2 linked regions of the Stegostoma tigrinum genome follow. The protein of the gene in region 1 interacts with the protein of each later gene in a biochemical or structural test. Links are inferred from orthologs where the notes say so. Each region holds a gene or a part of one and is shown on either strand. Other genes may lie near its edges. The genes, in order: ston2 and syt1a.

What was found.
Region 2: the proteins of ston2 (region 1) and syt1a form a complex in vitro, tested with the Homo sapiens proteins (2 studies listed by BioGRID). The link is inferred for Stegostoma tigrinum from reciprocal best matches to the Homo sapiens genes STON2 and SYT1.

What each region holds. Positions count from the first base shown.
Region 1 is NC_081363.1:9,666,621-9,682,608, reverse strand, and holds the start of ston2 (stonin-2), read right to left. Parts: upstream 8,057-15,988; 5' UTR 7,884-8,056; coding exon 7,842-7,883; intron 7,739-7,841; exon of another isoform or gene 7,642-7,738; intron 6,639-7,641; exon of another isoform or gene 6,463-6,638; intron 3,718-6,462; exon of another isoform or gene 3,537-3,717; intron 1-3,536. UniProt on the Homo sapiens protein: Adapter protein involved in endocytic machinery. Involved in the synaptic vesicle recycling. May facilitate clathrin-coated vesicle uncoating.
Region 2 is NC_081371.1:61,644,175-61,659,901, reverse strand, and holds the start of syt1a (synaptotagmin-1a), read left to right. Parts: upstream 1-9,122; 5' UTR 9,123-9,354; intron 9,355-15,727. UniProt on the Homo sapiens protein: Calcium sensor that participates in triggering neurotransmitter release at the synapse. May have a regulatory role in the membrane interactions during trafficking of synaptic vesicles at the active zone of the synapse.

The sequences.
Region 1 (15,988 bases):
TAGGAGCTAGCTGGGTCAGTGTCTTGTGCCACGCACATATAAATAAAGGGTGACTTTGTGACAGGATACAGGCATTCATAGAGTTATTTCAGAGGTGATGAGAGTGGGATTAATGATGTGACCATGAAAAAGTGCCTACTAGTGGAAGCCCAACAGGACATCATACAAGCATTACAACTGGATCTGTCATTAGAAAAGATGGCAAGTGGAGCTTCTGAGTTAGGGTACCCTGATGGAAGTGGTCAAACTCACCAAGATGACCAAGGCTTGAGGAATACCACTTGAGTGAAAACAATTGCGTAGCCTCACTTAGGACGTATCCCAGACAGAGGGACTCTAAGTCAACTCACAGAAACCCCAAATTGAAACCAAGCCTCAGCCAAACTGTTAACATTTTCTCGAGGATCCAGGCTGGCGAACAATTTTAGTAGCTACCAGTACATGGACTCATGACAGTGAAACCTCCCACTCAGCCTGAATTGAGTAAAATAACTTATAGGCTGGTATCCAGGAGAATGCACACACTGGAAAGTCCATCAACATCTGGTTTGGAATGGTTAAATTGCTTAGCAACATCCAGATCACAACCAATCAAAATAAATAATAAATTGTGAGGCTGGATGAACACAGCAGGCCAAGCAGCATCTCAGGAGCACAAAAGCTGACGTTTTGGGCCTAGACCCTTCATCAGATGCGTGTTCCAGGCACCCCAAGTGACCTACTTGGGCTACAAAATTGACAATGCCAGATTACAACCATTGGAAGATAAAGTGACCCTTCTTGTGCTCCTGAGATGCTGCTTGGCCTGCTGTGTTCATCCAGCCTCACATTTTATTATCTTGGATTCTCCAGCATCTGCAGTTCCCATTATCTCTGATACAATCAAAATAAATGCCTGGATAAATGGTCACCCAGTTCTAATGGATGTTGATGCCAGTATGGTTGTATCAGTGATTGCAGAACCAATCTCTAACAAATTCACTCTGGAGTCCAACCCTAAGTTTGCTAAGACCTCAGTCAGGGCAAAAACCTATATTAAAAAGGAACCCCTACAGATTAAGGGTTCAATTTTGATTCCTATTTTTTTTATGAGAAGCACTTAGTTTAGTTACCGCTGGTTGTAGTAAAAGGCTGGGCCTAAGCTTGAAGGGGTGAAATTGGTTGAGAAAGAATCAACTTGATTGGCTCAACATTTTTTTTAAATTGGAAAATGGATACCTGAGTGAAGTCCTAATTAAGAGGGCTTCTATGCAAAACTGTCAGAAGGTCTGTCTTTCATGAAACTGGAGAAGAACCATGCATTCCTGCCATTGGGATTATATGACGATTCCTAGAAGTATGCCACAATTAATACCCATAAAGGTTTGTACTATATACAAGATTGTCTTTTGGAGGTATCATCAGGCTGTGCCATTTTCCAGTGGACAATGGAAAACATTTTCAGGTCACCAGTTGTCTGGATAATGTGCTAATAACTGGGAACACCAATGAAGAGCATTTAGAGAAGTTGGACATAGTGCTTAAATATTTTCTCCAAGGCGGATGTATGCCTTAGGAGGGAAATGCGTGTTCCAGGCACCACAAGTGACCTACTTAGGCTACAAAATTGACAATGCCAGATTACAACCATTGGAAGATAAAGTGAGGGCAATCAAAGGTGCCTTAGTCTCCATGTTTGTACCAGAGGTTAGGTCTTTCATTGGGTTGGTGAATTATTACAGAAAATTCATATGTAACCTGGCCTCCAACTGGCACCCTTACATCTCCTATAAACTATAGAAAATAAATAACAGTTCATCTGATGACAGAATACTGACCTTTGTGCAGTTATTTCGCAATGTTTGCTGATTGTTCACATAGAAAATAGGAGCAGGAATATGTCATTTGGTGCTTTGAGCCTGCTCTGCCATTCAATATAATTGAGGTTGATTATTCAACTCAGAATCCTAATCTCATTTTCTTTGCATAAATTTTCAATATCTTGAGCTCCAGTAGCTAAATCTAACTCCTTCCTGGGACACAACAGTACAGGGACAGAAGGTAAAAATTGTATCAGAGATAATGGAAACTGCAGATGCTGGAGAATCCAAGACAACAAAATGTGAGGCTGGATGAACACAGCAGGCCAAGCAGCATCTCAGGAGCACGAAAGCTGACGTTTCGGGCCTAGACCCTTCATCAGATAGGGGGATGGGGTGAGGGTTCTGGAATAAATAGGGAGAGAGGGGGAAGCGGACTGAAGATGGAGAGAAAAGAAGATAGGTGGAGAGAGTTTAGGTTGGGAGGTAGGGAGGGGATAGGTCAGTCCAGGGAAGACGGACAGGTCAAGGAGGTGGGAAGAGGTTAGTAGGTAGGAGATGAGGGTGCGGCTTGGGGTGGGAGGAAGGGATGGGTGAGAGGTAGAACAGGTTAGGGAGGCAGAGACAGGTTGGACTGGTTGTGTGGTGCAGTGGGGGAAGGGGACGAACTGGGCTGGTTTAGGGATGCGGTGGGGGGAAGGGGAGATTTTGAAGCTGGTGAAGTCCACATTGATACCATTAGGCTGCAGGGTTCCCAAGCGGAATATGAGTTGCTGTTCCTGCAATCTTCGGGTGGCATCATTGTGGCACTGCAGGAGGCCCATGATGGACACGTCATCTAAAGAATGGGAGGGGGAGTGGAAATGGTTTGCGACTGGGAGGTGCAGTTGTTTGTTGTGAACTGAGCGGAGGTGTTCTGCAAAGCCGTCCCCAAGCCTCCGCTTGGTTTCCCCAATGTAGAGGAGGCCACACCGGGTACAGTGGATGCAGTATACCACATTGGCAGATGTGCAGGTGAACCTCTGCTTAATGTGGAATGTCATCTTGGGGCCTGGGATAGGGGTGAGGGAGGAGGTGTGGGGGCAAGTGTAGCATTTCCTGCAGTTGCAGGGGAAGGTGCCGGGTGTGGTGGGGTTGGAGGGCAGTGTGGAGCGAACAAGGGAGTCACGGAGAGAGTGGTCTCTCCGGAAAGCAGACAGGGGTGTGGATGGAAAAATGTCTTGGGTGGTGGGGTCGGATTGTAGATGGCGGACCTCCTCGACCTGTCCGTCTTCCCTGGACTGACCTATCCCCTCCCTACCTCCCCACCTATACTCTCTCCACCTATCTTCTTTTCTCTCCATCTTCGGTCCGCCTCCCCCTCTGTCCCTATTTATTCCAGAACCCTCACCCCATCCCCCTCTCTGATGAAGGGTCTAGGCCCAAAACGTCAGCTTTTGTGCTCCTGAGATGCTGCTTGGCCTGCTGTGTTCATCCAGCCTCTCATTTTGTTGTCAGGGACAGGAGGTCATGTTTTCTGGAATTGTGACTAACTGCAGCTGCACAAGGCCATCACCTTGACAACAGTTATCAGATTGGTGCCTGGCTAGCTAAATAACCTGTTAGGGAGGAAGATATTGGCAAGGAGATTTTGACTGTTGAAAGGGCAGATGGTATATCTGTCTCTATCTCGCTCTTTTTCTCTGTCTCTAGTAAAGTACCCAAAGCCTGAAGAAAGCCAGTTTAATTTCCACTTACCAGTTGTTGTAAGCTGATGCTTTTAACCAATACATCAGACTTTATAATTTGTGAAGCAGTTGCTCTGTGCCTGCTGTGGATAAGTGAAAGAACTGAAGGATTTGGGAATCCTAAGGACCGACATCATTGAACTCATTCCCCAGCACTTTTCCACTCTGCTCACAAGGCCAATGTTATTTATCTGCATTTATGTGTAAGGAAATTTTAGAAGACATTAGTAGTTACAATGTATTTACTTGTAATAAATAGTAACTCTTATCAAGAACAGAAACCTGAACCATATTTACTGTTCACCCAAGTCTAACAGATAATTTGGAAATTTTCTACTTTAATGCAATTTTTATCTATAATGACGACTCTGGGAATTACAAAGGCTTAACTTCCAGCTCACTACCCAGTGAGGTGTAACAGATACACACATTTCCAAGTCAGGAATACAGCGGGGAAAAAAATCCTTAGCTCAAGCAAAACATTCTGCATGCTCCTGAGAAACACCTTGTATACTTCACTGTGTTAAAGGTACTATATAAAAATGCAAATTTGTGTTGATATAGTCAGCATGAGGTGCATTCCTCAGCATTCCCATTACCTACAAAGGTCTTCGTCACTAATGGCCAGACATCAAGAAGCAGATGTCTGTTGGAAATATAGTTCTTTCAAATATCATCACCGGTGGTGATTCTTGTATTTACATAGTACCATAAAACATTCCAAGTGCTTCACAGAGATCAGAGTTTTAAGGACCATGCCCCAAGATAACTCTACATCCTTAGTTTGCTCAATTCAATCTTATTTCAAGCTAATGACAGCAAAATAGTGTATGTTTCTACATTTGTGCAATTCTAAGAGTAGATTTCTTCAAAAGATTCAATTAAAATAGTTTCTACCAGTGACTTTTTATTTGTCGAAATGTATGTCTTGCATTAAACTAACTAACTGAAATACATGACCTGTCAGAACTCTTTCTTAAAAAAAGAGCTCAGGGGTATACACCAAGTGTTCATGTATTTTTCCAGTATATAGTTCAAAGTTCAGTTCTGGGTTATCTGAATTTGTTCATTCTGCAAGAGGCTGATAATTTTTGGATCATACAAAACAGGCCTGCCTTTATACTCTGCCTTATTAGTGTGGACACGAGTGAATTGGGAAAAGGTCCATTTACTGCCTGTTGTAATATAATTGGAATAAACTCAATTTCATATTGACCCATCCCTTAATAGAATTGGAGGGGCTTGCCATGAAAAAGCAAAAGCAAACAATATTGCAGGAAAGAAAAATAGTGTACATGCAAAGGGTGTGGTTGATAAGTGACAGAACTAATCAAGCTCTAAATGACAGAATGCATGACTTCATCTATTTAGAAGTTACTTCACAATTCACTGTTTCTTAGTTAAAAATCTCATGACTTTAAAGTTTAGGTCTTTCACATTTTGGAGGCATAGCTTATTATAATTCATAAGATATTTTGAGTTATATGCTCACTTCTACAGCATTTACTACTTTTAAAAGACCCTGTAAAATTTAATAGCCAGGGTATAGTTATTTTATCTCTAAGCCAACAAACATTTTCTTCTGAAGATTCACATAGAAGTGATCATGAAAAGAGGTATGGGGCAAGTGTAACTGGTGAGCACTACTGGTTGCTCATTTTATAATGGATTGATTACAGAACTTGGTAACAGTTCTCTTTTTGGTTATCAGTTACATAGACACACTTATTCCTCAGCTGCACTCACTTTTTTCCTTAAGCCTGTTTTTAAAAAACAATTAGGACATTACCAGCTTATTCACTATATTTACTTTACAGAAAGTGTAGTTGCACTCAAAAGGGAAGTATACTGAGATAACAAGGTGTAGAGCTGAATGAACACAGGCCAAGCTGCATCATAGGAGCAGGAAAGCTCAACTGTTAAAATATCTTTAACTTACATAAATAAGGTATCTGTAGTTACATGTTTGTCTCCATAATTTTCTGATATTATGGTTCAGAACTCCCTATTTAAAACTATTTGATCTAAAAGTTCATGTCATTAGGATTTAATTTAGACAAGACTTATAGAAAGCCTGGAAACAGAAAAGTGTATTTAAATTAATAGTTGAAAGGGTTGAGAATGTGCTTATTATATTCAGATGTTTCATTGGAATATTTGGCTAGTTTTATTACAATAGTAAAAGTAAGATCTTCCTTACATTTTTAATCAACAAATCACAATCTTTCCAGTGCAACTCCATTTGCAATATCAAACAAAAAAATCACAAACCTATTCATATCTGTAAAACACAACTTTAGTTGTGAACATGATACAGAAACATTTGGCACCTTGTCTTAGTTGCTTACAATGTGAAAGTGCTAGTTCCCCAAGTTTCAAAAGGAAATAATCTTCTTTACTCTGCAGCATGTACACCAACAAGTATTCTCAGGAAAATTAGGCATTCTATACAATTCCAACTAGCTGCACAAAAATGAGACAATCCTTCTGTTTCAGCAGCTTCAAGACAAACTTTAGAATGGGTTTGGGGATAAGGAACCATAGATTGCAGAAGTTAATTACTGGGATACATTTTCAGGAGCTGTGTTTCCCCTCAACTTGAAGTCACCAATATTCTAACTTTATGTGCTGAACCTCCACAATGATTACAGACTATTTCTGACCACAACGAATTACAATAATACCTTGATAATATTCAGACAGCAAGCCAAACTCTTCACTTATCTTATGCTTTCTTGGTGGTTAGTTTGGAATTTCTTATTTTTCCAACAGCTACATCACAAATTCTCTAAAATTCATATTCCAAGAGTAATAAATATAATCCTTAGGTAGCTCTTAAATAAAGTTTACTTATGTAAATATATCTTAATGTTTTCTTCTGCGGTATTGCTACGTGTGTGTCCATTTCAACCACATTTATGCAAATTTTCATTTACTTTTAGCTTGAACATTTAAAAGCATGAAACCGAATTCACAAGGCCGGAAACGTCAGCTTTTGTGCTCCTAAGATGCTGCTTGGCCTGCTGTGTTCGTCCAGCTCCACACTTTGTTATCTCGGATTCTCCAGCATCCGCAGTTCCCATTATGTCTGATCACAAGCCACTCATATCAGCTATCAAAATAAGAAATCAAAATAAAACTGGGTCCTTCTCATTAGCAGCAGTTGAGAATAATTTGCTCACTGAATCAATCATGCTATATTTTACTGTTGGGGAACGCTTGTTTTTTCAGTCTTTAATTTTCCAGAAGATCTGTTGCATTGCCTCCTTTTCATAAAATTTTAATTCTTTTAATTGCCAGTTTTGTTATTTTTAGACCCCAGATTAAACTTTTCTTTAAAGACAGGTCAACGGTAAAGTAGACGCAGAAAACACTTGAAATAGCATTCGCACGTTTTTGTAAACAGATTCTGTACGGTTGATTTCATTCAACAAATTTATAAATAACAATAAGGACTTCCTAAAGTTTATTTTTTCATTAACTGTTAGAGTTATTTGTACTTTATAAGCTTCCTCCATAAGTCTTCTACCTAGAGAACTTTTAGAGGTCCACAGTGAGGACAGCAGATGGTGACATCGATATGAAAAGTTGAATAGGGAATCATTAGAAGACACAGTGATTAAAGATTTTTTGGAACATTGTTTCAGTTATTAACGGGGGGGGGGGGGGAAGGAGTTAGCAAAAGGAAGCACTTTGGGGCGTAAAAGGAGCTGCTTGGTAACAATGCTTCCAGCTCAGTCACTTGCGCGATTAGCGCACTTTTGGAGGAAGACTGCTCATTCGAAATTTCATAGAACCATTCCGGGAGCTTTACTTCGATTCTGGATAGTGTGCCATTTCGATTTAGAAACCAACAAACCAAAAGAACTGCAGATTCTGGGAATCAGAAACAATAACAGAAATCGCTTGGTAAATTCAGCATCCTTCGCGAAAAAGCAGAGCTGACGCTTCCAATTTGTTCGCACTCCCATCACGATGTTCAAATAAACTGGAAACCAAATTTCCTGACCCATTAACACGACAGCCATAAATTGAGAAAATACTTAGAACTGTGTACACCCTCACGATTATACTCCGACCAAAAGTCGACAATGATCACGAAAAAAGTTTCGGACCTCGAAACAGGAGAACTGGAGTTGGCCGCAAATTGGCATCTGACATGGAGAAGGAAAGAGAGACACTAGGACCCTACAGCATCCACGATGCTCACACGGCGCAACCTGCTAGCACAAACACGCCAGAGCTGCTGGGGAGGAGACAGGGGAGGAGTGTGGAAGTTTTATACATAAACAAATAATTCATATAGAACACCTACTGCATATAATCGAACATTCACCTCGATCTGGCATACTGACATTTCCGGACTCCACCACCGCCTCCCGTGTTTAAGTTAATGCGTCGCACCGCCCTCCGCTCGAGCTGAACAAACGGCCGTTTCAAGCCAACATTTAAAAGGCTCGAGAGCCTGAGCCGCACGCTCCCGGCCGTTGCCTAGACACACCCGCCCTCACTCGAAACCGGCTCCCCCCATTGGCTCCGCACGTCTGGGGCCGCTGGAAGGTCGACATCGACGCCACGCCTCATTTCCCCATTTCGGATCCCATTGGCCGTGCTCCTTTCCTCCACGATTGGACCATGGACATCAGCGCCCTTTGATTGGTCACTTGATGAGCCGCGAATGGAGATGGGTCCAGGTGGATGTCGATGCAGTGTATAGCCAGAGAAACACAGCAGGTCCAGCAGTATCAGAGGTGCAGGAAAGTCGATGTTTCTAGTCGGGACCCTTCTTCAGAAATGGGGAGGGGGAAGGGAATGAAAGTAGGGAGGAGGGGTGGGGCTGGGGATAAGTAGGTGGGGTGGTAATAGTTGGATTCGGGTAGGGGGAGGCGGAACAAAAACATTCTGAGGAAGGGTGCAGGATTGGAAACATTAACTCCGATATTTTCTTCACGGTTACTGCCAGACCCGCTGAGCTTTTCCAGCAACTTCTGTTTTTGTTACTGATCTACAGCGTCCGCAGTTCTTTCGGTTTTTATTTAGGGGCTGGTGGGGAGAAAGATGGACGGGTTGTGTCAGGCCAAGGAGACAGTTGGACATAAGATAAGATTGGGGAATTGGGAGATTTTAAAACTGGTGAATTCGATGTTCAGGCCATTGGGCTGTAGGTTCCCAAGGTGGAATGTGACATGTTACTCATCCAGTTTATGTGTGGCATCATTGTGGTGTTTGAGGAGGCCCAGGACAGACATGTCATAGAATCATAGAATCCCTACAGTGTGGAAACAAGCCCTTTGGCCTAAGTCCACACGGAACCTCAGACTGTCTCACCCAGACCCATCCCCCTATAACCCATCTAATCTACACCTCCCGGAACACTACAGGCATTTTAGCATGGCCAATCCACCGAGCCTACATATCTTTGGACTGTGGAAGGAAACCAGAGCACCTGGACGAAAGCCATGCAGACTCGGAGAGAATGTGCAAACTCCACATGGACAGTCGCCTGAGACTGGAATTGAACGCAGGTCCCTGGCGCTATGAGGCATCAGTCCTAACCACTGTGCCACCCCATCAAGGGAGGGGGAGGGAGAGTGAAAATGAAAATGGTTAGTGACCGGAAGGTGTTGTCAATTATTGTGTACAGAGCACAGATGCTCCACAAAATGGTCCCCCCAGAAAAGAAGATTGTTGCAAAAACACCGAGCGGTGTTTGATGGATATAGAGAAATAGTTTCAAGATTGATGAGATTTGCGCTCGTCTGCTTCTTAACCCCTCACCCATCTTCGGAATGATCACTTGGGATTTATTCATCTTGTGTGGGTAATTCTGAACTATCAAATGTTTTGTGAGGCAATTACATGCAATGGTTAGGTGAGAAGCTCCACCTATTAGGATATAATGGACAATTCATGGCAGGATTTCATTGCTAAGTTTGTGTCATTAATTAATTGTCTGTGTCATTAATGTTAACATTAATACATTTGTGTTAAATATAGTCTAAACTTAGAAAACAAACTGTCATGTAATACTGATGTAATGTAATTAGGAATTAAGTCTTATATAATAAATCTGTTATGTTTAACAAGATTAAGCCTCTGTTCAGCCAAAGACTTTTTGTAGACAGCTTTCCCCACATTGTGTCAATAATTCAAACTAATATCGGTAAAAAGGGTTAGTGTCGGTGAATCTACCTGGTGCATTTCAGTTAGCTCTGATAGCCACAACCCAAGAGATACCATCTTAGCAGCGATGATATCTGCAAGTATATCATTAGTGCACAAAGGTGTCCATGTACAAAATTTATGCACAACAGTCCAGGCCAACACTCCAATGGGGTGTTCAGGGAGTGCTGCAATGTCCAAGGTGCTATCTTTTGAATGAGATCATAGCCATTAACATCATTTACGCCTTAGGTGGAATCAAAAAGTCATTTTAGACATGATCAGGGGCTTATCTGCAATGCCCTGACCAATATTCATCCTTCGCTCATCAGAAAAGACAAATTATTGGGTCGTTAACATCCCACAGTTTTCAGAGCAAACTAATTACTGGTGATGTACCCTCTAAGCCATGTGTTCAAAGTTGCAAACAGACCTTGGAGGCCTGCACAGTGGCAAAATAACAATGGAGAGAATGCTGCCTAAAGGTATCACATTTCCAACAGCACCACAGTGTCTATGGTTCAAATGTACATAATTGGCTGTAAAACACTTTGGGATATCCTGAGGTTAGAAAAAAAGTATAGAAATGAATGCCTTATTTTTTTTGTGCAAATTTGGTAAACCGGTTAAAAAACAATTCAGCACATGGGATGAGGCTGGGGATTGGGAGATTTTAAAACTGGTGAATTCTATGTTCAGGCCAGAGGGAGACTTTTATTCTGCCCAACATGCTCATGTCAGCTCTTTGAATGAGCTATCCAATTTGACCCATGCCCCTGTTATTTGCCCAGCCCTGAATAAGAAGCAATTTTGTACTCAAGATCTTACCACATCTTCAGACACCCAGCCCGCTACATGCCCAAAGACGTATGGACTGGGAATTGGACTGTTAAGTTACATGAACCTTTGTTGTCAAGTTATTGATCTTTTCTTATTAATTTATTCTTATTAAAATACTGATTTTGAAAGCCTTTTGCCCTTAACCTCTCTATCTGAGAGCAATATTAGATTTTATCGCATGGGGATTGGCGTGCAAAGGGGAAGAAATGATGATTTACTGGATCACACTCAATCTGGAGCATGGTGTCTAATTTTGGGCAATTCAGTCAGAAAAGAATGGCTTTGGAGGGGATGAAGTTGAGTGAACTTCAGACAGTAGAGAAGGTGAGATCACACCTGGGAGAAGTATACCCCAAGTACGTATATTTCTGTGATTTTCAAGCAATGTCGGTATTCAGTACAAATGGGGAGAGGTGTATTTTGCTTTATTCGGTTCATAATTTTGTAAGGTATTTTTTAACAGGATAAATTGAAGCCCAGGATCAGTGGCTAGCACAAAATAATCACAGGAAAACTGTAAATTCATTGGTTGGTAATAGCTGGAGGTGATGGGCTAGTGGTATTTGTTGCTGGACTGTTAATCCAGAGACCCAGATAATATTATGGGGACCTCGGTTCGAATCTCACCATAGTAGATGGTGAAATTTGAAATCAATAAAATATCTGGAATTAAGAGTCTAATGATGATCATGAAGCCATTATTGATTATTGGATAAACCCATTTGATTCACTAACGTCCTTTATGGAGGAAACTTCCATCCTTACCTGATCTGGCCTACATGTGACTCCAGACCTACAGCAATGTGGTTGACTCTTAACTGCCCTCTGGTCAATTGGGGATGGGCAATAAATGCTGCCTAGACAGTGATGCCCTCATCCTGTGAATGAATAAAGGAAGAACAAAGCTGCTAACTTGACTATTGATGATAAACTTCTTTCAGATTAAAAAGTAAATGGAAAAAAATATTTTGGGGATTAAGCACCAAAAGACCAGTAGGAATTTTTTTAAAGTTAAGAACTAAGTGAACAAAATAAAGATGTAGGCCCAGATGAGACTTGGGATGACACAGGGGCAGGAATGTTTGTTGGATCTTCCAGGGTTTAGATGTTTCAAAAGAAATAGGGAGGTAAAAGAGGTGGAGAAATGGCATTGCTAATCAGGGGTGGCATGACAGCTGCAGAAAGGGAGTTCGTGGAGGAGTGTTTGTCTACTGAGTCAGTATGGGTGGAAGTCAGAAACAGGAAAAGATCAGTCACCTTATTGGGAGTTTTCTATAGACCTCCCAATAGCGACACAGACACTGAGGAACAGATTGGGAGACAGATTGTGGAAAGGTGCAGAAGTAATAGGGTTGTTGTCGTGGGTGACTTCAACTTCCCTAATATAGACTGGAACCTCCTAAGTGCAAATGGTTTAGATGGAGCAGATTTTGTCGGGTGTGCACAGGAAGGATTTCTGACTCAATATGTAGATAGGCCGACTAGAGGGGACAACCACACTGGATTTGCTGTTTGGCAATGAACCGGACCAGATGTCAGAAGCCTCGGTGGGAGAGCATTTCGGTGACAGTGATCACAACTCCCTGACCTTTACTACAGTCATGGAGAGGGATAGGAGCAGATGGTATGGAAACGTATTTAATTGGGTGAGGCGGAATTACGATGCTATTAGGCAAGAACTGTGGACCATAAATTGGGAACAGATGTTCTCAGGGTAATGCATGACAGAAATGTGGAGTTTAAGGAGCAGTTGCTACGAGTACTGGATAGGTTTGTCTCACTGAGGCAAGGAAAGGATGGTAAGGTGAAGGAACCTTAGATGATAAGACATGTGAAACATCTAGTCAAGAGGAAGAAGGATGCTTACTTCATGTTGAGGAAGGAATGATCAGACAGGGCTCCAGAGGGCTACAAGGTAGCCAGGAAGATACTGAAGAATGTACCTAGGAGAGCTAGAAGGGGGTATGAAAAAGCCTTGGTGGGTAGGATCAAGGAAAACCCCAAGGCATTCTATTACAAATGTGAGGAACAAGAGGATGGCCAGAGTGAGAGTAGGGCCAATCAGGGATAGTGGAAGAAACTTGTGCATTGAGTCAGAGGAAGTAGGGGAGGTCCTTAATGAATACTTTGCTTCAGTATTCACCACTGAGAGGGACCTTTATGTTTGTGTGGACAGCATGAAACAGGCAGATATGCTCAAACGGGTTGGTGTTAGGAAGGAGGATGTGCTAGAAATTTTGAAAAACATGAGGATAGATAAGTCCCTGGGCCAGATGAGATATATCCAAGGTTACTATGGGAAGCAAGGGAAGAGATTGCTGCCCCTTTGGCAATGATCTTTGCATCCTCACTGTCCACTGGAGTAGTACCAGATGATTGGAGGGTGGCAAATGTTATTCCCTTGTTCAAGAAAGGGAATAGGGACAATCCTGGGAATTACAAACCAGTCAGTCTTACTTCTGTGGTGGATAAATTATTTGAGAGGATTCTAAGAGATAGTATTTATGATTATTTAGAAAAGCACAGTTTGATTAGAAATAGTCGGCATGGCTTTGTAAGGAGCAGGTCATGCCTCACAAGCCTTATTGAATTCTTTGAGGATGCGACAAAACAAATTGATGAAGGCAGAGTAGTAGATGTGATCTATATGGATTCTGGCAAGGCATTTGATAAGGTTCCCCATGGTAGCCTCATTCAGAAAGGAAGGAGGCATGGGATCCAGGGAAATTTGGCTGTCTGGATACAAACCTGGCATGGTAGTAGATGGAAAGTGTTCAGCCTGGAGCTCAGTGACCAGTGGTGTTCCACAGAGATCTGTTCTGGGACCTCTGCTCTTTGTGATCATTATAAATGACTTAGCTGAGGAAGTGGAAGGGTCGGTTAGTAAGTTTGCTGATGACGTGAAGGTTGATGGAGCTGTGGATAGCATGGAGGGCTGTTGCAACGGGACATTGACAGGATGCAGTGCTGGGCAAAGGAGTGGCAGGTGGAATTCAACCTGGAAAAGTGTGAAGTCATTCATTTTGGAAGGTCGAATTTGAATGCAGAATACAGGGTTAATGGCAGGATTCTTGGCAGTGTGGAGGAACGGAGGGATCTTGGGGTCCATGTCCATAGATGTCTCAAAGTTATTACCCATGTTGATAGGGTTATAATGTATGATGTGAGCAGAGATCATGGGAACTGCAGATGCTGGAGAATCCGAGATAAAAAAGTATGGAGCTGGATGAACACAGCAGGCCAAGTGGTATCTTAGGAGCACAAAAGCTGATGTTTCGGGCCTAGACCCTTCATCAGAAAAGGAGGATGGGGAGAGGGTTCCGAAATAAATAGGGAGACAGGGCGAGGCGGAATGAAGATGGATAGACGAGAAGATAGGTGGAGGGGAGAATATAGGTGGGGAGGTAGGGAGGGGATAGGTCAGTCCGGGGAGGACGGACAGGTCAAGGGGGTGGGATGGGGTTAGTAGAGAGGAAATGGAGGTGCGGCTTGAGGTGGGAGGAGGGGATAGGTGAGAGGAAGAACAGGTTAGGGAGGCGGGAACGAGCTGGGCTGGTTTTGGAATGCAGTGGAGGGGGGGGGGGGAAGATTTTGAAGCTTGTGAAATGCTCATTAATACCATTGGGCTGCAGGGTTCCCAAGCAGAATATGAGTTGCTGTTCCTGCAACCTACGGGTAGCATCATTATGGCACGAGGACCAGGATGGACATGCCATCTAAGGAATGGGAGCGGGAGTTAAAATTGTTCACGACTGGGAGGTGCAGGATGTGTTGGCTTTCATTGGCAGGGGAATTGAGTTTTAAGAGCTGCACGGTTATGCTGCAGCTCTATAAACCGCGGTTAGACCACACATGGAATATTGTGTTCAGTTCTGGTTGCCTCATTATTGGAAGGATGTGGAAGCTTTAGAGAGGGCACAGAGGAGATTTACTAGAATGCTGAAAGGTTGAGGGAGCTAGGGCTTTGTTCATTAGCGCGAAGAAGGATGGGAGGTGACATGATAGAGGTGTACAAGATAATGAGAGGCAGAGATAGAACAGATAGCCAGAGACTTTTTCCCAGGGTGGAAATGACTATTACAAGGGGGTGTAATTTTAAGGTGATTGGAGGAAAGTATAGAGGAGATGTGAAAGGTCGGTCCTTTATGCAGAGAGTGGTGGGTGTGTGGAATGCACTGCCGGCAGTGGTAGTGGATACTTTACAGACTTTCAAGAGACTCTTGGATAGGCACACAGATGATAGTATAATGTAGGGTATGCAGAGTAGTTTCATCTTAGTAGGATCTTTAGCTCAGCACAACATTGTGGGCTGAAGGTCCTGTACTGTGCTATCTATCTCAAATTCAGTCAGGGACAGGAGGGTGTGACTACAAGTGAGGTAAGTAGAGTGAGAATCTTCCTGACTGTGTGGATGAGGCCTCTTCTGGAGTGCTGTGTCCAGTTCTGGTCGCCTTGTTATGGGAAGAATATTATTAAGTTAAAGAGGGTTCAGTGGAGATTTGCCTGGATGTTGCCAGGTACAAAATATTTGAGTTATAAAGAAAGGTTGGATAAGCTGGCACTTCTTTCACTTGGCTGTGGGAGGTTGAGAGGTGACCTTAGAGGTTTATGAAATCATGAGGGATATAGATAAGGGATAATGGGAACTGCAGATGCTGGAGATTCCAAGATAATAAAATGTGAGGCTGGATGAACACAGCATCTCTTAGCAGCATCTCAGGAGCACAAAAGCTGACGTTTCGGGCCTAGACCCTTCATCAGAGAGGGGGATGGGGGGAGGGAACTGGAATAAATAGGGAGAGAGGGGGAGAAGGTTAGTGGTAGGGTGTCTTTTCCCTAGGATATGGGATTTCAAGCCTAAAGGACATATTTTTAAGTTGAGAGGAGAGAGAGATTTAAAAAAGACATGAGGAGCAAATCTTTTATCTAGAGAGTGGTTCGTCTGTGGAATGAACTTCCTTAATAGGTAGTGGATGAGAGTACAGTTACAACATTTAGAAGATATTTAAATAAGTACATGAATAGGAAAGGTTTGAAGGGATATGGACTAGGAACAGGCAGGTGGGATGAGTTTAGTTTGGGATTGTGTTTAGCATGGACTGGTTGGTCCAAAAGGTTTGTTTCCATGGTGTATGACTCTGTGACTGAAATATTACGAGTATTTTCAGGAAGTCTGAACCAGAGTGGTTTTAGGGATACCTGTAGATGTGTTGTATTTGAACTTGTTTATTTGAAAATGTTTGACCAGGTATCTCACAAAAGGTTAAAATCAAAGGATAAGAGCTCACTCTGTTGGAGGTAGTATATTGGCATGAAGTTAGCAACCAACATCCAGAAGTTGTTTGTCTATAACATCCTTGCAGCCCCAAATCCACAGCCAGTCAATCTACTAAGAACAGTGGCCTAGCTGATCTCCTAGCTGATAATGGGAAAATAAATGAGAAGAGGGTAGTAAAATAA
Region 2 (15,727 bases), on another chromosome or scaffold:
CAAGGCCTCCAAGAAACATTTGACCCAGGCCCACTCCCCTACCCCATCCCTGAAACCCTGCATTTCCCAGTCATTTTAAGAAATGTTGTCGTTCCAAATAGAACATAGAACATAGAACAATACAGCGAAGAACAGGACCTTCGGCCCTCGATGCTGCGCCGGCCTGTGAACTAATATAAGCCCCTCCCCCTACACTATCCCATCATCATCCATATGCTTATCCAAGGGCTGTTTAAATGCCCCTAATGTGGCTGAGTTAACTACATTGGCAGGCAGGGCGTTCTACACCCTTACTGATCTCTGAGTAAAGAACCTGCCTCTGACATCTGTCGTCAATCTATCACCCCTCAATTTGTAGCTATGTCCCCTTGTACAAGCTGAAGTTATCATCGGAAAAAGACTCTCACTGTTCACCCTATCTAATCCTCTGATCATCTTGAATGTCTCTATTAAATCCCTTCTTAGCCTCCTTCTCTCCAATGAGAACAGACCCAAGTCCCTCAGCCTTTCTTCATAGGGCCTGTGCTCCAGACTAGGCAACATCCTGGTAAATCTCCTCTGCACCTTTTCCAATACTTCCACACCCTTCCTGTAATGGGGCGATCAGAACTGCAAGCAATATTCCAAATGAGGCCGCACAAGTGTTTTGTACAATTGCAGCATGGCATCACGGCTCTGGAACTCAATCCCTCTACGAATAAAATCTAACACATAGTAAGCCTTCTTAACAGCACTATCAACCTGGGTGGCAACTTTCAGGGATCACCGTGCCGAAGGGGCGGCACGGTGGCTCAGTGGTTAGCACTGCAGCCTCACAGCGCCAGGGACCCGGGTTAAAATCCAGCCTCGGGCGACTGTCTGTGTGGAGTTTGCACATTCTCCCCGTGTCTGCGTGGGTTTCCTCCGGGTGCTCCGGTTTCCTCCCACAGTCCAAAGATGTGCAGGTTAGGTGGATTGGCCAGGCTAAATTGTCTGTAGTATTCAGGGGTGTGTGGGTTATAGGGGGATGGGTCTGGGTGGGATATATCAAGGGGCAGTGTGAACTTGTTGGGCCAAAGGGCCTGTTTCCATACTGTTGGGAATCTAATCTATTCTCATCTATTCCATGTACATGGACACCAAGATCCCTCTGCACATCCACACTACCAAGAATCTTCCCATTGACCCAGTATTCTGCCTTCCTATTATTCCTCCCAAAGTGAATCACCTCACATTTATCCGCATTGACCTCCATAAATCTGCAAGTAATGGGAGCAAATGGCAACTGAATTTAAAACACAATCTGATTGAAGGTGTAAGGGAGTCAAAATGACAGACATTAAACATTGAAGGAACAATGATTGGCACATTAATTACTGGCCAGTAGATCTCCAAGCAGAGCAACACCTACTGTATATTAACAGGCTCCTGGTGTAGGATTTACATTGTCTGATAGGTTGAAATGGTTCAAACCTTCCTCAATCAAACTTCATACTCCGGCAGAAACACACTTGAAAGACAAAAGTCAGATTGCGGTAAGGTTAAAATATTAAGAATGAGAAATAGCAGAACCACTTTCTATCCAAGAGAATCAAGAAGCTTCCACTGTCAGCAGCTCAGCACACTTTAGTTCAAAGCTGACCATGAGGGGAGAAAAACCTGCAAAGGAAGACAGAATTTTGACAAGAATTTTCCAAATTATTCTCAGAACCAAGTAAGCTGAAAAATGAGGACCATGTAACACCATGGGCAAATGCAACATCAATTAGTCTTTTTACTTCAAGATAGGTTCTGCACTTACTAATGGATAAAGTGAAAGAAGAAATTAAAAAGATGCAAGAACAAGGGTAATTCCATCAATTACACTCCTACTAGATTGTGTCAGGGTCTAGGCCCGAAACGTCAGCTTTCCTGCTCCTCTGATGCTGCTTGGCCTGCTGTGTTCATCCAGCTCTACACCTTGTTATCTCCTACTAGATTGTGTTCCGATATGGTCACGCTTTCTAAAGGAAATGGAAGTATCAGAATTTGCACAGACCTAAACTGGCAGGTAGAGGGTAATGTTACCTTGGAAAATGTGAACTTGTTCACATTGGTATGAAAAAAACAAAGTAGGGTTTTACTTCAATGGAGAATCACTGTGAGTCACAGAGGGGTTGGATTTGTCCTGCTTTTTGTGTATGGGACATACTTGGGCAATTTTTCACATTATCAGGTAGATAGCAGTGTTGTAACTGTACGGGAACAGCTTGGCTAGGGGAGCGACAGGCTCTGGAGCACAAGTCCTCAGTGCTATTGCTGGGATGTTGTCAGGGCCTGTAGCATTTGCAGGATCCAGTGTCTCCAACCGTTTCTTCGTATCACGTGGAGTGAATGGAGTTGGCTGAAGACTGGTATCTGTGATGCTGGGGAACACTGGAGGAGGCCGAGGTGGATTGCCCACTGTTGTTAGTAATGAGGACAGGGCAGGTTCAGGGCCTCTGTTGGTGCCAGGTGGTCCTTCTGGTTTCATCACAGTGTGGAGCTGGAGGAAAACAATAGTTCAGGCAGCATCAGAGGAGCAAGAAAGTCAATGTTTCAAGTCCGAACTCTTCATCAGAACTGGGATGGTCTGAACATTGTTTGGAGTCCATGGGGTATGAACAGGCTGCATAGGCTGGAACTGAGAAAGAAGGTAGAATCATAGAATCTCTACAGCATGGAAACAGGCCATTCAGCCCAACAAGTCCACACTGCCCCTCCAAAAAGCATCCCACCCAGGCCCCTTCCCTCACCCCTGCAGTTCCCACGTCTAACCTAAACATCCCTGGGCAATTTATCATGGCCAATCCACCTAGCCTGCACAGTGGGAGGAAACAGGAGCACCCGGAGAAAACCCATGCAGACATGGGGAGAACGTGCACACTCCGCCCAAGGCTGGAATTGAACCTGGGTCCCTGGCACTGTGAGGCAGCAGTGCTAACCACTGAGCCACCGTGCTGCCCAAATGTGGCTGTCTCAGTTTGTAGTCTCTGAGCTTCAGGGCAGAGATCATCAGAAGGTTGCAGTGGGAGAGAGATTCACTGAGATCTTTCCAGAGGAAGGAGGATAACTTATTCAGGGTGGGAATCCTTGGAAGAGGCTTCGCAGTGGGTTTATAGCTCTTTCAGAGATAACAAGAACTGCAGATGTTGGAATCAGAGTCAACACAGTGTGGAGCTGAGGAACACAGCAGGTCAGGCAGCATCCGAGGGTCAGGAAAGCTGATGTTTCGAGTGTGGACCCTTCATCAGACCCAAAACATTGACTTTCCTGCTCCTCTGATGCTGCCTGACCTGCTGTGCTCCTTCAGCTCCACACTGTGTTGACCCTGACTCCAACATCTGAGGTTCTTGTTATCTCTTCTGGTTTCATTCTGCTTTCTCTTTCTGACAATTGATCCAACCGAGTGACTTAGCCAGACATTCCAGAGGGCAGTTCAGTGTCCATAGTGTATTGTAGTGTAGTCCCTACTGGGTAAGGATAGTAGACTCCTTCCCTAAGGTACATTAGCAAACTCAGCATGTTTTTACAACAGGTTTTTATCGTCATCATTGGACTTTTAATTCCATATTTTTAGTTGATTCACATTTCACCATCTGCCGTGCTAGGATTTGAGCCTTGCCCTCAAAGCATTACCTCAGTCGCATTGTCACTGGTGCGGAGGTAATCCCACTGTGTCCTCTCCAGCTCCTTTTTCTCCTCCTCCTTCTCCTTCATTTTTTTGTCCTCCTTCTCTCGCTCCCAGTGTGATTCAGTGAGTGAGAATTGGAGAGAGATTGCATGGAGGAGACACTTTGAGTGAGTGTGGATCAATGACTGTAAATAAAGGTTGTTGTCAAAATATATTGAGGCTCCTGTAAAAATGTTGAAGAGACAATAAGTCACCGCCCTGCCATCATGCTGACCTGAAGATGCAACACCCAAAGAAATTGGCAGAATATCTCAATATAATAGATTGAACTGAACCAACACTCTGTCACAACCTGAACTCTGACACAACAATAACATACTTGTCAATGGTAGTAAAGCAAAATTGTTTCTTTTATTGTAAAACATTTCCATAGGATTTCAATGTTGTGAGACTCTAACAGAGTCAGCAAAATTTATCAGTATTTATGCCGTTGTCTCTGGACAATGTGTTAGTTTTGGTAAAATTTTCATTTTATTTGTCTCATAGAATTATAGAATGACACAGCACCAAAGGAGGCCATTCAGCCCATCACGTCAGTTCCATCTCCTTATCCAATTAATCTCACTTCTCCCTGTATTAGCTTCCAAATCTGTGCATTTTTCTCCTTTTGAATGTTACTATTGAGTCTTTCTCTAACACCCTCTCAGACAGCACTTCCCAGATCACAACAGTACTGCAGGCCTAGTGCAGAATAGTAGGACAAGGCTAGATCACCCTTTGGTAACTGTCATGGACATGATGGGGTAAATGGCCTCCTTCTGTCTCATAGATTTTCTATGATTTTATAAACACACTCAGTTAAAATAGTTCTCCTCATCTCGCGTTTGTTCTTTTACCCGTAATCTTACATCAGAATCTCGCTGGTTGCTAAACAAAAAAAAACAAAAGAACTGTGGATGCTGGAAATCAGAAACAAAAGCAGAAATTGCTGTAAAAACTCAGCAGGTCTGGCAGCATCTGTGGAGAGAGAAAGCTGTGTTAATGTTCTAGGTCCAGTGAAGAAGGGTTCTGAAGAACAGTAACTGGATTTGAAACATTAACTCTGTTTCCCCACTACAAATGCTGCCAGATCTGCTGAGATTTTCCAGCAACTTCTGTTTTTGTTCCTCTCGTTCCTGACCCCCTGGTCACTGGTAATGGTTTTCTCCATATTTATTTTATCAAAATCCTTCCTCGTTTTGAACGCAGAAAACAAAAAGCAAACTCTAAAAGTCAGAAATGACACAAACTGACACCATCTTCGGATCTTCTTCTCACTATCTTTCCTATCAGTGGAACAACCCCAGTTACTCAGTCTCTCCACATTCACTGAAGTCCCTCATCCTTGGTCCCATTCGAGTAAATCTCCTCTACACCTCTAACAATGTCTTGGCATCGTTGCTAAGGTGTGGTGACCAGGATTAAACACAATTCTTTAAATGAGGTCAGGCCAGTACTGGATAAAGGTTTTCTGTAAATGCCTTCCATTTGTGCTGTACACTTCCAGGCCTAAAGGCTTACAGATTTCATTTGTCGCTTCAGCAATCTCATTCGTTACTCTGTCACTTTAAAAGATTTGTGTTTGTGAACCTCCAGGTCCCTCTGTTCTTGCACTGTCTTTAAAACTGTGCCACTTAATTTATAACCTTGAAAGCTGGAGAGATCAGAATAAATCAGCAGGTGATGTTAATGTTAACAGATCAACAATGTAACATTGTAATGGGATAATCCAGCATTGGAGACGTTAAACTTATCTGAGAATGTAAAGTTGAGGCCAATCATGCGCGATGGTTAAGAAAATATCTCCAAAAGTGGGAGATATTAAAGCTGCTTTCTCACAAGTTACAGTATTAATGGAGCATAATTATGCACACACATTGAACACACCACACTATGCTGTTGTTGAAAGTAATTCTGTATAATATAACTAAATAAAACTTGATTGGAGATGTGAAGGTCTGTGTTTGGAATTTCATTTGACATTTAACATTAGATTAAAACTGGTGATATCTTGTAGTTCACGTATTTAATTTATTATTCTGTCATATTGCACACTGGGCTAATAAATTTTCAAAAACTATATATCCTTCCTGTTACCAGGCAACAGCAACCAAATGCAATTAAACTGACATCCTGTATTTGATAGAAGGTGGTGGCCAAAAATGGCAGAAACTGTGACTTAAAATTCCTCGCCTTCGTGTTAATATATGAATCCCCTTTAGGACATATCTCAGAGTTCCAACCTCTCAAGGTTAGCATCCTGACATCAGCAGGGATCCTGGAGGAATTGTCACATCAGGAGGATCAAAGCGTGTGTGTGTGTGTGTGTGTGTGTGTGTGTGTGTGTGTGTGTGTGTGTGTGTGTGTGTGTGTGTGTGAGAAAGAGACTGGGCCTGTATGTGAGAGTGTGTGTGTGTCTGTGTGTGAGAGAGAGTGTGAGAGTGTGTGTGAGAGTTTGTCTGTCTGTGTGTGAGAGAGTTTGTGTGACTATGAATGTATGTTTGTGAGAGAGAGTGAGAGAGAGAGAGTATGTGTGTGTGTGTGTGTGTGTGTGTGTGTGTAAGAAGAGACTGTATGCACAGGCAGCCATGTGAGAGATTTGTTGGATGTATGTGCAATCTGGAATTGTGTCTGACTACAGATGCACTATGCAAGTCGGTGTGTGTTAGTAGGTGTGCGTATTTGTCAGCAGGTGCACAGTGTGTCAGAGTGTGAACATGTGGATGAGTCTCTGTATCGCTGACACAGTGTATGTGAGTGTGTTTATTTGTATGTGTGTGAGAGATAGGATGTACACGTGTGAATCTTTTAACATTCTTATGTAATCGCTTCAGCAAATTCTCTGCACGCAGCCTTCTCACCAGGAGTGGAATTCACAGCAATGCCTCCTGTTCTGCAGTGTAACTCGGGGGAGTCAGTTTGCAGTTATACTTCATTCAGAGTAAATTTACAAACACTGCACAGCCCCCAACCCACACAGGTCCCTCATTTATAACATAAGCCAATGCACTATTTATAGATGAACAGTCTTTTTTGAAAACTGAGTTAGAAGCTGGCAACAGTCCTGTGCCCAGGAGGAATATTTGGCTGAAGTCATCATAACATATGTGTAATGAGGAGAGAGGCAGGAGAGAGAGAGTAGGGATGGGGTGATGCAGAGAGAGAGAGAGAGAGAGAGAGGGAGAGAAAGAAAGAGATGGACACAGTGAAGAAAGGAAGAGCCAGAAGGGGAGAGATAGAGGACAGAGAGAGAGAGACATGGAGACAGAGAGAGAGGAGAAAGAGGAGAGGCAGAGAGGATAGAGAGTGAGAGGAGAGTCAGAGAAAAAGAGATTGCAGAAAGAGAAAGACAGACAGAGAGAGTGATGGTGGGAGACAAAGAGACTGAGAGAGAGGCAGAGAGACAGAGATGGAAAGGAAGAGAGACAAAGAGAGAGAGAGGGAGAGAAAGTGATAGAGAGAAACAGACAGGAAGAAAGAAACGAATCAGTGAAGAGACACAATCAGACAGAAAGACACAGAGAAGAGAGAGAGAGAGAGAGACTAAGAGATAACAACAAAAGTCATATAAACACAATTTTAATTTTCCAAAGATTGCGGGAATAGAATTTAGTTGTTGAGCATTCAGCTACAGTCAGTGGGAGATTCACTTCATAAAATGTGTAAAGTGTAAGAATTGTGAACAGGAGTTAGTCACTTGGCCCCTTAAGCATCCTCAGTTACGATAGCAGGTGATCTTTTACCTTAATTCTATCTATTCACCTCATACCACATTTATTCATTCGCTCATGGGATGTGGGCATTCATGGCCAGGCCAGCATTTATTGCCCATCCCTAGTTGCCCCTTGAGAATGTGGTAGTGAGCTGTGTTTTTGAACCGATGTTGTCCATGTGCTGTGGGTTGACCCACAATGCCCTTAGGGAGGGAATTCCAGGATTTTGACCCAGTAATAGTGAAGGAACGGTGAGATATTTCCAAGTCAGGATGGTGAGGGGCTTGAGGGGGAATTTGCAGGGGGTGGTGTTCCCATGTACCTGCTGCCCTTGTCCTTCTGATGGAAGTAGTTAGGGATTTGGAAGGTGCTAAGGATTTCTGGTAAATTTCTGCAGTGCATCTTGTAGACAGTACACACTGCTGCTACTGAGCGTCGGTGGTGGAGGGAGTGGGATGTTTGTGGATGTGGTGCCAATCAAGCAACTGCTTTGTCCTGGATGGTGTCAAGCTTCAACACATCCAGTCAAGTTTCATTGTTCACCCTCCAAGATTCATAGAAATGGAGAGCAAAACTGCACAGTGTAATCTAGTTGTGATCACCCCAAAATCCAATGTAATTGTGATATAAATTGCAGGCACTGGGTTATGTGGACAAGGTACAAACTGGTCACAATTGAAAACATACACCATGTGTCTCATCACCAGGCAGGTGCAATCTTTCCAATACAGAAATGCATCTTTTTTTAATTAATCCGTGGAACTATTTGGGGGAAGAGGGTGTGGTTGAATAAAGAGGGAGAGCCTGGTCATGCCTCCTCACCCAGGGATTTAGCTGTATCCCATCATGAGCCTGGGGTCTGGTCCTAACTGTGTGTAGCAAGACCCCATGAAGTAACTCTCCCCAACTCTGTCTTGAATAGTGTGCCAGGATTTTTTGGTTACTGGAGGAGGGTGATTGGTGTTCTGGCCCCAGTGACAGGGTAGGACTCCCTCAGAACTGAAATGGCAGCTGGGATTTGATTCTCAAGCTGGTTCAGAGAGGTCCAAACCAAATATGCTTGAAAAGCAGCTGCTGGAAACACAGTACTGTGAGGTGGGGCAATGTTCTTAGTCACATGATGCCCACCTAGATATGGATGTGCAGGATGGCTTTGTGCAGTTACAAACTCAAACTCAAGTCCCCAGCTCTGTGCTCCCGAGCCAATAAACTTCCACTGCGTGACCCCTGGCTGGCTCTGGGCTGGGGACCTGAAGGAGCTCAGACCCACAGTAAACATCTAGCTTCAGGTCTACTCCAGGTAAACTCGGGGACAGCATCCCCATACCCTCATAGCAACAATCCCTGACTGAAAATCTCTCCTCCCCTTTGCTTGCTTCTGTTAGTGTCGCTGGTGGTGTGGTATTGTTGAGAGTAGTGAGACCCTCTGGGTGAAGGGAAGCAGTCAGGGCAGAGGGTTGGGGGCTATCTAGATCCCACCCCCACACCCCCACACCCCCACCCTCGCTCCCCACCTGTCTCCTGGAAGACTGAGCTGGGTGCTGCGGGCGCCTCTTGCGGGAACTCTCTCCAATGTGTGTGTGTGTGTGAGAGAAGACGAAATGGAGCTGTGTCCCTGTTTCTTGCTGCTGGATTAGGTATGCGAGGCAGCACTTTTCTGTGTCCAATCATACACAAGGACTCAGTGATGCAGTAGGTTCTCACTGGAGGCTTTCCTGAGAGCTGCAGTGTCTCTCTGCTAAAGTGACGGTTACCCCCCTGTCTCCCGCAGTATAAAACCCTTCACTCTCAGCACTTGGAACCAAATCTCTGCAAAGCCTGGCCGTGAGGAGCAAACAAGAGAGAAACTGAGAGAGAGAGAGAGAGAAAAAAAAGTGCATTCCTTGTAATTTGTGTGTCTCTATTCCTCAGGCAGCCTCAGCTAAATAGATTTTCTGTTTATTTTAAACAAAATAAAGGACATCATTCCAGGTAAGAGATGTTGTGTTCCCAAGCTGTCCCCCTCTCTCTCTGTCCATGCTGAAAGTGTGACTGGCAGGAACCCTGTTGCTGGGGTTGGTTTATATTTGGGAAGGGACTATAGTCTAATGAATGCTCCCTCTCGGAATGGGAGGAACGTGTCAGCTCAGGATTGTGTTCCCTGAGCTCTATCAGGAATATCCCCTTCACCCGAATCATTGCGAGTCAGTGAGGCGGGTGACAGAGGGGAAGGAGCGGGACTATGTGTGTCCCAGAAAGTTGAGGTGGAGAAACTGTGACCAGAGGAGTGGGATTGATACTGACTGTAAACCTTTGTGTGTGTGTGTGTGTGTGTGTGTGTGTTCGTCTCTGCCACTCTCCATCAGGGAGAACGCGAAAACAAATGTCATCTTTCATTTGCTCGGTGTGTTGTTCCTGCTATTGCTGTGTTAGGGCTGTGTGTGTGTGATGAGGAAGAGATTTCCTCTGTTTCTGTCCAACACTCGCTGAATGTCTGCCCTGGTTTAGTGAGAGTCCGCCGTAGGTGGAGCATATCTCCGTTGGGTTCAGTCAGTCCGCTTACTGTGTTCATCTCGGTCAATTCCAAATCGGCAATGAATTCACAAAAGGTGTTTATCAGAAACAGCACATTGATTGCCTACTAGTTGTAATTTAATCAGTACACACACACTTTCTCTCTCTCTCTATCTCTCTCTCTCATACGCACACACACACAATCACACTGGTACACAATCTCACACACATTGACACACAATCTCATATACACACACACAGTGGACATACAATCTCCCACACACTGACACACATAGAGACACAATCTCCCTCCCACACACTGACACAGTCACACAATCTCTCAAACTGACACAGATATAGATACACAGTGACACACACAATTACACACTGATTCACACACACAGATATGCCCACATACTGACACACACACCAGCACATACATACTCACACACACAATCACACACACACACACACACACACACGCACACACACTGGCACGCACACACACAGACACTGGCACACACACAGGTATGCACAGACACTGGCACACACAGACACTGGCACACACACAGACACTGGCACACACACTGGCACACACATTGGCATACACATAGACACTGGCACACACACAGAGACACTGGCACACACTCACTGACACTGGCACACACACTGGCACACACTCACTGATAATGGCACACACTGGCACATACACACACACTGGCACACATATACAAGACGGGAACATGGAGAATGCTCAATCCTGGGAGAAGGAGCCAGGGCAAAGATGTCGGGGAATGGCCGGAAACCAGCGGCAAAGGATTTCGGCCAAGCCTGTGGGTCATCTCCGGGGAGAATCGGTTTTGCTCAGTTGCTGGGGGTATTTGTACACCTTGCCGATCCTCCCCTGGAATGGGCTGGGGACTGGGGACCGAGCTGCGGTTAATTCCCAGGGATTTAGACCGGATTCCGAACAGTGGGAGTGGAATTCCGAACAGACGGTGTGAAGGACAAGGAGTTTTCGACTTGATTTGATCTTCTGATCTCTGTGCCTGTATGCCATATCCATATTTATACACTGATTTATAACCATGTATTAATCTCCCGTGAGATGTGGAGCGCTGAGTCTGTCACCCTGAAATACAGCTGTACAGGAACAGGAGTCCCACTACTTTGGCTCCTACAGGTTGACTGGACCCAGTGAAAGAGCAGACAATTGTATCAGCAACAGCATCTTACTTTCTCCACCCGCACTGCCCCCCCCCCCATTACTGTTGGTGTTAATTTCAGCAGGAAATACAGAGTAGTTTTCCCAATGCCTCCAAACTCCAACCAGAGAACATCAGATTCCACTGAACTAGTGAGAGAGACAGAGACCGAGAGTCAGAATCTCCCCAGGTCACTGCCCTTACACGAGAAGGAATTTTCATCGTTTGATATTGGCAAATATTCTGATAGAGTGACCTGGGTAGGTCTGTCAAACATGCAGCACAGCCTCCTGAGAAACAGGGCACTATGAAGAGAGATCAGAACACATACTTCCTCTCTCAGTCACACAGTTTCTAACTGCTGCCAACTCCATCCCAGAAACTAACCCACCAGGGGCCTGAGCTCCACTCAAACACATTGTGTAGTAATTTCCATCTCCTTCAGTTTGATCCCACGCACTGAAGTCCCACAAAGATTCAGTGAAGATCCTAAATATTTTCAAAAAAATCTGTTCAGAGATGTTATTACATTCTTCTGCAGTAGATGGGACTTGGACCTGGGCCTCCCAGTTCAGTAGTAGGGGCACTACCACTGTACCAAAGAGGACCCTGAGTGAGTATCCAACGGTTCCTTTCATGGTTCATTTCACCTTGGTGCAATAACGCTGAATGAAGCATGGTGGTTTCTGGTGGGTGGTGTTGAAGATGGATGGGGGTCGAGGTGGATGGGGGTGAAGGTGGATGGGAGTTGAGCTGGATGGGATTGACGTGAATGAGGGTTGAGGTGGATGGGGTGAAGGTGGATGGGGATTGAGTTGGGCAAGGGTTGAGGTGGTTGGGGATTGAGATGGATGGGGATTAAGATGGATGGGGATTGAGATGAATGAGGGTTGAGGTGAATGAGGGTTGAGGTGAATGAGGGTTGAGGTGAATGAGGGTTGAGGTGGATGGGGATTGAGATGGATGGGGATTAAGATGGATGGGGATTGAAATGAATGAGGGTTGAGGTGAATGAGGGTTGAGGTGAATGAGGGTTGAGCTGGATGGGGTAAAGGTGGATAGCAATTGAGATGGATGAGGGTTGACGTAAATGAGGGTTGAGGTGAACGAGAGTTCTGAATCTGAACGAGGGATTGTGAATCTGAAACGAGAGATTAAGCAGGCTAAGAGAGGGCATGAGAGATTGCTGGCAAACATGGTTAAGGAAAATCCCAAAGCCTTTTATTCATATATAAAGAGCAAGAGGGTAACTAGAGAAAGGATTGGCCCACTTAAGGACAAAAAAGGAAAGTTATGCGCTGAGTCAGAGAAAATGGGTGACATTCTTAACGAGTACTTTGTTCGGTATTCACCAAGGAGAGGGATATGACGGATGCTGAGGATGGGATAGATGTTTCCTTACTCTAGGTCAAGTTGACAGAAGGAAAGAGGAAGTGTTGGGTATCCTAAAAGACATTAAGGTGGACAAATACCCAGGTCCAGATGCGATTTATCCCAGAGTACTGAGGGAAGTGAGAGAGGAAATAGCCGGGGCCTTAGGAGATATCTTTGCAGCATCCTTAGACACGGGTGATGTCCTGGAGGACTGGAGACTTGCTAATGTTGTCCCCTTGTCTAAGAAGGGTAGCAAGGATAATCCAGGTAATTATCGACCAGTGAGCCTGACGCCAGTGGTTGGGAAGCTACTGGAAAAGATATTGAGGGATAGGATCTATTCCCATTTGGAAGAAAATGGGCTTATCAGTGATAGGCAACACGGTTTTGTGCAGGGAAGGTCATGTCTTACCAACTTAATAGAATTCTTTGAGGACATGACAAAGTTGATTGATGAGGGAAAGGCTATAGAAGTCATATACATGGACTTCAGTAAGGTGTTTGATAAGGTTCCCCATGGCAGGCTGATGGGAAAAGTGCAGTCACATGGGGTCCAGGGTGTGCTAGTTAGATGGATAAAAAAACTGGCTGGGCAACAGGAGACAGGGAGCAGTAGTAGAAGGGAGTTTCTCAAATTGGGGACCTGTGACTAGTGGTGTTCCACAGGGATCTGTGCTGGGACCACTGTTGTTTGTGATATACATAAATGATTTGGAGGAAGGTGTAGGTGGTCTGATCAGCAAGTTTGCAGATGGCACTAAGATTGGTGGAGTAGCAGATAGTGAAGGGGACTGTCAGAGATTACAGCAGAATATAGATAGACTGGAGAGTTGGGCAGATAAATGGCAGATGGAGTTCAATCCGGGCAAATGCGAGGTGATGCATTTTGGAAGATCTAATTCAAGGGCGAACTATACAGTAAATGGAAAAGTCCTAGGGAAAATTGATGAACAGAGAGATCTGGGTGTTCAGGTCCATTGTTCCCTGAAGGTGATAACGCAGGTCAATAGGGTGGTCAAGAAGGCATATGGCATGCTTTCCTTCATCAGACGGGGTATTGAGTACAAGAGTCGGCAGGTCATGTTCGAGTTGTATAGGACTTTGGTTCGGCCACATTTGGAGTACTGTGTACAGTTCTGGTCGCCACATTAACAAAAGGATGTGGATGCTTTGGAGAGGGTGAAGAGGAGGTTCACCAGGATGTTGCCTGGGATGGAGGGTGCTAGCTATGAAGAGAGGTTGAATAGATTAGGATTATTTTCATTAGAAAGATGGAGATTGAGGGGGGACCTGATTGAGGTCTACAAAATCATGAGGGGTATAGACAGGGTGCATAGCAAGAAGCTTTTTCCCAGAGTGGAGGACTCAATTAATAGGGGTCATGAGTTCAAAGTGAGAGGAGGAAAGTTTAAGGGAGATATGGGTGGAAAGTTCTTTACACAGAGGGTGGTGGGTGCCTGGAACGCGTTCCCAGCGGACGTGGTAGACGCAGACACTTTAGCGTCTTTTAAGATATATTTGGACAGGTACATGGATGGGCAGGGAGCAAATGGACACTGACCCTTAGAAAATAGATGACAGGTTATACGGAGGATCTCGATCGGTTCAGGCTTGGATGGTCGAAGGGCCTGTTCCTGTGCTGTAATTTTCTTTGTTCTTTGTTCTTTGAGGGTTGAGTTGGGTGAGGGTTGAGGTGAACGAGGGTTGAGGTGAACTGAGATTGAGATGGGTGGGGTTGAGGTGAACGAGGGTTGAGGTGAGCGGGGATTGAGATGGATGGGGTTGAGGTGAACAAGGGTTGAGGTGAACGAGGGTTGAGGTGGATGGGGTTTTAGGTGGATGGGGTTGAGGTGAATGAGGGTTGAGGTGAACGAGCGTTGAGTTGGGTGAGGGTTGAGGTGGATGGGGTGAAGGTGCATGGGGTTGAGGTGAATGAGGGTTGAGGTGGATGGGGTTTGAGGTGCATGGGGTTGAGGTGAACGAGGGTTAGGTTGGGTGAGGGTTGAGGTGGATGGGGATGAAGGTGTATGGGGTTGAGGTGAATGAGGGTTGAGGTGGATGGCGATTGAGGTGGATGGGGTTGAGGTGAATGGGGATTGAGGTGGATGAGGGTTGAGGTGAACGAGGGTTGAGGTGGATGAGTGTTGAGGTGGATGGGGATGAAGATGGATGGGATGATGGTGGCGTGGCGTGAATGGTTTGTTGGTAGAAGAGTGCATGGGTGAAAGATGTTCAAGGGTCATTGCTTTGATGAGTGGGGGGATGGATGACTGGACCGATAAATGAAAGGGGCATATGCACCAGAGATTGAAGAGTTGAGTGAATGGATTGGCTTAAGTGTGTGAGTGGATGAGCTGCTGGTGTAATTGTGGGGAACAAGAGTACCCACTTTGTCCATGTACGTGGATTACATTGAATGCAAGGCTAGATGGTCAGGGTCATTCAGATCGGTGTCAGGTGCATGGGTCATAGATGCCCAACCCAGCTGTGGTGGAAGTGAGATCTCTCTCAACTGGTACAGTTACAAACCAATCCAGCTGAGAATATGGGACAAACACCATCAGCCCAGAGCGTGGTGACAATGTGGAACTTCCGAGATGCATGTAAGTGGATGTTGGATTATCAGTAGTTGAGGTGTCAAAGGAGATGTTGATAGACTGAGATGCAAAAAGATGGGAGAAGCTTTGTTTTGAATACAAAGGACACACTGAGCTGACAGACCCCGCTCCTGTGTTATAAATATTCTATCGTACCGTGGTTTTAACCTGGCAAGTTTGAGGTTTGAACAATTATTTCACCTGTAAATGTAACTCTCATGTGAAAATGTGTGCAATTCAGAAGGATGTCTATTTCTGACTTTGTTACTTAATTGTTTTATTTTATCATAAAGCACACGTGTACAAAACACTTCACCGTAAGCGTCAAAAGAAATATTTTGCAGACTAATTTGTGGATGCACAACAATTTATTGTGTGATGAAGTTTTATTTATATCAAACAAATGGAATGTGAAATGTAAAAGTCAGCTCCTAAAGGTGTGACAGATGTTTTGTGTTATTAATAGATCCTTTGGATTAGGATCAAGAATCCAGGGCACCCTCTTGTTCTGCTCTCTGAAGTTTTTTTTCAACCCCTGGCGTTTTAAAGCTTTGTCATGAGGTCAATCAAATCATTTGTGTGCCGACAGCTGTCAGTGCAGGAGAGAGAGAGAGATCTGTTTTATTTCTGTTTTTAAGAATTTAAGATTGCATTTACTTCTACAAAGGTTCTGAC